2 linked regions of the Danio rerio genome follow. The protein of the gene in region 2 interacts with the protein of the main gene of each other region in a biochemical or structural test. Links are inferred from orthologs where the notes say so. Each region holds a gene or a part of one and is shown on either strand. Other genes may lie near its edges.

Region 1 (3,948 bases), on a different chromosome or scaffold from region 2:
TCAGCATCTCTCAGCAAAACATTGAGGATTACCGTTTGCTCCACCTCCGTCAGGTGACACAGATCTAGTACAGGTTCCTTTTCCATTACAGACACACCTGACGCCGAACACACCGGGTTATTAGGATAATGATGTAGATGTGGTTCATGAGAAACCACACCTAAGAGAGCTGCTGATAGAAATATATGGGAACTACAAGAGTTTTGGTATTGTGATAAAACACACATAAAGGATTAATGGTAACACTTTACAATGAGTTTACATTTGTGAATATACAGTGGAAGTTAGAATCATTAGCCCCACTGGATATTTTTTCCCCAATTTCTAAACATAATAGTTTAAATAACTCATTTCTAATAACAGATTTCTTTTATCTTTGCCATGATGACAGTACATAATATTTTACTCGACATTTTTATAAGTGCAGTTTAAAAATATTGCTTAAGGGGGCTAATAATATTGACATTAAATGTTTTTTTTTTTTAATTAAAACCTGCTTTTATTCTAGCTGAAATAAAACAAATAAGACTTTCTCCAAGAGAAAAATATTATAGGAAGATTTCTTTATATTTAAAATTTCTTGCTGTGTTAACCATCATTTGGAAAATACTTGACAGAAAGTTCACAGGAGGGCTAATAATTTACTAAACTATAACTTTACGTTTCAGAAAATAAATTCCAATTTCAAGAAATTATAACCAGTATTTTGAGCTCTAACCTGCATGAATGTTTATTATGGTCCTGCATTAATGTTCATTCATGTTCTCCAGATGTTCATTCATGTTCTTACTGCTGCAAGAACACGGTTATATAAAAGAGACTAATGTTTTCTGTTAATTTATCCACCCTCAATCCTTCCAAGATGATTTTTTTTGGTATTTATTTAAAAAAAACTGTTTTATTGTTATTGTTTTTGACTCAAAGATCTGGTAATTGTTGACCATTTCAATGTGGAAATGTAATTGGTCCTTGAACATTTCCTGCTTGTCACCATACTATTTCATAACTGTAACAAGAGGCAATTCAACCCTATTTTCACGTTAAATTAGCTATCATAACATTATTTATCAATATCTTGACCTTTTTGGATTATCGTAAGCTATGGAAATTAAAAATATAAAAGAGGAAATACATCAGGATATATACATCATTGTTATTGTTTACATTCCTCAAAATGGTCTATACATTCATTCACAGCCAATGTAAATTTTTAGGGGAATTCTCCTTGTCAGAAACTTTATAATCAGTGACTTCAATACTTGTTTTCCCCATACTATATATATATATATATATATATATATATATATATATATATATATATATATATATATATATATATATATATATATATACATACATACATATACATATATATATATGTGTGTGTGTGTGTATATATTTTTTATTATATGTGTATATATATATATATATATATATATATATATATATATATATATATATATATATATATATATATATTACCACAAATTACAATTTTCTACGAAAACTGTCGAAAACTTTGACGATGGTAAGCCAAAGTTAATTTGTTTTCCTCACCACTAAAATCACATGCATTTAATGTACTCATTCAAATGTATGCAAAGCTGTACAATAGATTTCATTAATTTTTTTGTATTTCCTATTATTTGTTCCAAGCTTTATCTTAGTGTCCAAATGAAACTAACAATAGTTGATTTCATTATAAATGTTTACGAGCAGCAGTAAACTTAATTTCAGGTGAACTGACAGACGGAGCGATGCTTGAATCGCGCATGCGCACAACAAACCGGGCCAAACGACAAAAGTAAACATAATTGCTTACCAATTCGCAAAGAAAGTGTTTATCTGCTTCCACAAAATTACATTAACATAAACTAATGCAACGTAACTCCAGTTAATCAAGTTACTGAAGACTCTCGGTGAGTACATTTTATAAAAACTCGAGGAGAAATGAACAGATGGAGTCGCACCTGTCAACTCTCATTCGCATCAAAATCAGAAGTGAAAAAGTACCATAAGACGCGAACAATTCTGCTTTGAACGACAGTATGTTATGTTTTTACCTCATCTAATGTCTTCTGCATAGTTTATTCCGGTGTTTGTTTCTTTCCCAAGTTTAGTTGTCGTCAGTTTGTGAACAGACACTCATTTGTGTCTGATTTGGCAGGACTGGCACTTTCACACCCGCCCTCGTTTGGGCACAGAGCAAAATGCGAACCGGATTCCCACCGAGCACGCGCTTATTTTACTAATTACTCTCTCTCTCTCACACACACTCAAAGTTCTGACATTATGAGTTTTACTGTTACATCTCGTATTTTTGACATTCCCCTCTCTGAATTGTGACCTTGTATTGTAATTGTTTATTATATATATTTATTGAAAATGATATTTAATCAATTTCTCTGTGATTTTGGTGGATTTAAACAAAACAATTTTATTAAACAGTTATATCTATTAAAATAAGAGTTTGGCAACCTATTATATTTAGGAATAGGAAGATAACACATGTGAATTCAAACAAGTTATTGAAAAAAAAAGCTCTTGACTAAAGCCAAATTACAAAATTTCAACCAATGGTTTGTTATTTCTGTGTTTCTCTTGATTTATCCGGTGTATTAAAACTTTATTTCATATTTTCCCCAACGTATTAATTTAGGCATACTCATTTTCAGTTTTTTTTAAGATTAGATCCAGTTTTTGCTTTGATACTGACTAATCTAATGTCTATGCACAAATATATTATTGAACAACATTATATATATATATATATATATATATATATATATATATATATATATATATATATATATATATATATATATATATATATATATATATATAAATAGTATTTATCTCATTGGAAATCGTGCAAACAACAAGAAATGGTTAGTGTAATTACTATTAATTAAAAATAAAACTTAACTCTGAGAAAACGTTGTGAAGGTGATGATACACAGACAACTTTTTGGTTATGTGCACATAAATATGTCATAGGTTTTGTGAAAGAAACACAAAAAAATGTCTTTCTTTACAATTAACAAAAATGTGTACGCTCTGTGCTCATGTCTGTTACAGTCAGTTCCTGTTTGGAGTCTCTATCAGCCCACACCTACAAAACACACACTGACACACGATCAGAAGATTAGAAAAACACCAGACAGACAGAGACATACGTTGTTCACTGACCCGTGTGTGTGGCGTCTGTTGATTGAAGGTTGATTAATATGGCTTGGATGACAAATTTGCTCACACTCTATTTAAATGTACAATTCACGCTACTAACAAACCATTAACTAAGACTTTTAGCTCAATAAACTACTAATTGGCTGCTTATTAATAGTTATTAAGGTTGGATTAGAGATGTTAAATAAGATCATATGTTATAAGTACTAATAAACAGTTCATATCTTAAAAGGCATGTAATAAGCCAGTAGTAAATGGTGTGAATTGTTACTTAAACTAAAGTGTTACTATTCATCATATTGCAGCGACTCTCTATTGAACTAACTTCTGTTGAAGCCGTTGGTTTAAAAGGACAGGTTACCCAAAAATGACTCACTATTTACTCACTCTTGTGTAGTTTCAAACATTTATGAGCTTCTGTTTTTCTGTTGAACACAAAAGAGGATATTTTGAAGAATGCTGGTTGCTGGAACTCATTGACTTCAATAATAATGTTTTCCCTACTATGGAACTCAATGGGTAGCTACCAGCATTCTTCGAAATATCTTCTCTTGTGTTCAACCGAAACAATAAACAATAAAAAAAAAGATAGGTTCTGAACAAGGGTTGGTGATGACAGAATTTACATTTTTTGGTTGAACTATCTATGAACTATCTATTATATATATAAAAAAAACATGTTTATTATTTTATTGTATAATGTTTTTTAATTATTTTGAGTTTATATATTATTCTTGTTGTATTTGTAGCCACACTGAAAAT
Region 2 (3,848 bases):
CTTATGGTAATGTGTGACTGAAGAACACCCGTGACACACATCTATCCTGATGCATTGTGGGTATTTGGTGTAAAGTGCTCTGGAAATGTGAAGACTGAGCTCCAGGTGAAGATGTAAGAGACATTCGGTCCATCACTGAGATTAAAACAGAGTGAAGCGTGGGGTTTACGCTGATTATTAGCATGCACACTTGCTCTGCTCGGGGTCGTGTGGTTCTGTCAGGTCGGCGGTGCTGTGGCCGTTGCTGCGGACTGTCCCGTCGGGGATCCAGGATTTATCCACACATCTCTCCATGCGCTTCATGATCAGATCCAGCAGAACCTCCACCGCACGACTCACATTCTCACCGTTCGCCGCGCTCGTCTCGAAATATGGCACGCTGAGGAGAAAAACACACTTCAGTACATTGAGAGTACATCATTACAGTCGTATGAGCATAAATCACATGCTGATCACCAGTTCATTACTTCAAATTATTAATTAACTACGGAGAACATCATTACAGTTGTATTTAAATTAGGGCTAAATGATACTGGAATAAAATGTTGTTGCATGTTGCAAAGATGATATTTCTTACAATTTTTACGAAAATTAAATATATAAATTAGAAATAAATCACAATACTGATCTCACGTGCTGGCCATGTTACTTTAAAAACATAAACACAATTACATGGTGTAACCTTATGGCAATTACTTTTTTAATTACTATGTCTGAAAAGAAATCAGTATGGAATTTATTTACTTGACTCAATACTTAAAATCCCCATAAAAGAAATTATTAAATAGACAACAAAAATTAAATCTGAGTCAAGCCTGGCATTTTAACTTTAATTTTTGAAAATTCTTTCACATTTTGTTAATACACAACAGTTAAACAGAAATACTCCTCAAAAAATACAGTTTCAAACTAATTACTTCATATTTCATACATACTATATATTGTTGTTTATTTCCGACTCAATTTCATTGTATCATTTATATATTTAATAAATTCATTTAAAAAGAAAATAACAAAAAATAAATGCAAAACCCCTTTTGTTGTCCTAAAAAAAAAAAAATATATATATATATATATATATATATATATATATATATATATATATATATATATATATATATATATATATATATATATATATATATATATGTGTGTGTGTGTGTGTATGTATTATTATTGTTGTTAATATTAATGACAATTATTATATGTAAAAATATATTTTACCTTTTTATTGTATTATTTTCATGACCATTATAAAAATATTTTTTTTTCTAAAAATTTAATTATAACAAATTATTTTATATAATATAAAAATAAAATATAAATAAAACATAAAAGTCTGAAAAAACATAAATGTAGCCTTGATAAGATGTACAGATATTTTAAAAATAGTATTAAATATTCCAAAATTTCAACTAGTAATGTAAGAAATATACTTTTTTTCCCTAATTTTAAATATTAATTTTATTATTATTATTATTATTATGAATTAAAATCATTATGTTAAAAAATATTGTAACATTTAAATTTCTTATTTAAACAACCGAGTGACAATAAATGTATATAAAAACAAGTGATTAATGCATTTTGAAGTAATATTTTTAAAAACAACATAAACAACATAAATTATATAAATAAAAAATATTTAGAATATATATATACATATACATACATATATATATATAATTCTAAAAACGTAATTAATACAAATAATTTTATATAATATAAAAATATATATATAAATAAATCATATAAATTAAAACAACATATAAATGTAGCCTTGATAAGATGTATGTAAAAAGTCTTAAATATCCTCAACATTTGACTAGCAATGTAACAAATATACATTTTTTCTTTTTATAATTGAATATAACAATCATTATTATTATTATTAATTCATTAAAATCATTATGTTAAAAAATATTTAACATTTTAATTTTTTATTTAAATAACCGTGCGATTAATATATGTATATAAAAACAAGTGATAATAAATGCATTTTGAAGTAATAATTTTAAAAACAACATTATAAATCATAAATAAAAATTATAAAAATGTTTAGATAAAAAATATTATATAATAATATATAGAAAAAACATTATATAAATGTAGCCTTAGTGAGTTGTACAGATATTTCAAAAATAGTCCTCAATATTCTAAACGTTTGACTAGCAATGTAAAAAATATACATGTTTAATTTCCCTAATTAAAAGAACATATTAATAAGAATTATTATTAATAAACATTATTTTTACTGAAATTTCTAAAAATAATCCTAATTATTATAATCCTAAATAACATAATATAAAATAATATAATATAATATAATATAATACAAAGTTTTTACTATTAAATGTTACATCATGCATAATTTTTCTAAACATAATCAAGAGCAAATACACATAATTCTCCTGACGTTTTCATGAGAGCAGCACACACTCAGCTGCATGATAAATTGTATCAGGGTGTGTGAGTGAGTGATCACTGCTGCTATACGGAGCATAATCCTGCATTCAGCTTGTCCGAACTGAAGACGCACATTAACACAGTCAATATTAGTTTTTCGGTATCCCGCATGTGTAGCGTGTGACATTTAACAAGAGCCGTCCTCATCTTAGGCAAACACTGGAGACTCGGCCCTTAAAACAAACACGCTTCGAGACGCTGCACCTTCTGAACACAGCACAATATCAGCTCAGATAATATTTCTACACCTCTATGAGTCAAACTTTATATTCTCATTTTAGACAGAATCGTGCAGCTCTAATATATATATATATATATATTGGGACAAAGGCAAGCTGACTGAAAGCAATATTTTAAAAAAGAAGGTTTAATAGAGCAGATCCAATAAATTCATTAATTCATTCTTATTTATCTGGGGTCCCCACAGCGGAATAAATTGCCAACTCATCCAGCATGTGTTTACACAGTGGAGGGCCTTCCAGCTGCAATCCATCACTGGGAACCATCCATATACACTCATTTCACACACATACACTACTGCCAATTTAGTTCATCAATTCCCATACTGTGCATGTGGTTGTGGTAGGGGAAACCGGAGGAAACTCACGCCGATACAGGGAGAATATGCAAACTCCACACAGCAATGCTAATTGGCCCAGTGGGGACTCGAACCAGCGACCTTCATGCTGTGAAGGCACAGTGCTAACCACTGAGTGATACTATAAATGAAGCCGTTTAATTTACGACTGTCAAAAAAATCAAAAAGTCTCCTTTCTGACAATTAAATCAAAGCAGACTCTTAATTTTCTGACTTAAATTAATGTTATTGGGTTATGTTATTTTTCATTTTTCTAATCTAAAATGGAGCTGTTTACATTTTAACCCAATTTATTGAGTTCAATAAAAAAATGTGCAGAATAAAATCCTAATAAAATCATGACTGTTTCCTAACTCTCGGTTGCAAAGGAAATCAAATGCTTTTAGCTGATAAACACTGAGTTCTGATGAGGTGTTGAGTCAATATTAATGCAGTATTGGCTGAATGTGACAGAAACAAGCATCTGGAGTTTCTCACCCGTATTTCTCTGCCAGTTCTCTTGCGTTCTCCGCTTTGACGGCACGCTGCTCCTCCAGGTCTGATTTATTTCCACACAAGACGATATCAGGATTCTCACAGTACGCATGTGTCTGCAGCTGACCTGAATGACACGTTACAACAAGTAATTTTTCAACTATCATATATTTATGACAATTATTTAAAATAATAAATAGTTATAAAATAACAATATTCTTATTTTCATGAAATTATTATTGAGCTAAAGAAAATTTCAATTACAATTGTGTAATTATAATCAAATACATGCTTACAAATGGTTTCACTT

Evidence for each region.
Region 1: the proteins of rab27a (region 2) and sytl1 form a complex in vitro, tested with the Homo sapiens proteins (3 studies listed by BioGRID). The link is inferred for Danio rerio from reciprocal best matches to the Homo sapiens genes RAB27A and SYTL1.

The regions. Positions count from the first base shown.
Region 1 is NC_133194.1:45,489,778-45,493,725, forward strand, and holds the start of sytl1 (synaptotagmin-like protein 1), read right to left. Parts: upstream 2,187-3,948; 5' UTR 2,069-2,186; coding exon of another isoform or gene 2,064-2,068; intron 173-2,063; exon of another isoform or gene 98-172; 5' UTR 87-97; coding exon 1-86.
Region 2 is NC_133193.1:3,156,973-3,160,820, reverse strand, and holds part of rab27a (ras-related protein Rab-27A), read right to left. Parts: intron 3,666-3,848; coding exon 3,542-3,665; intron 380-3,541; coding exon 178-379; 3' UTR 1-177. UniProt on the Homo sapiens protein: Small GTPase which cycles between active GTP-bound and inactive GDP-bound states. In its active state, binds to a variety of effector proteins to regulate homeostasis of late endocytic pathway, including endosomal positioning, maturation and secretion.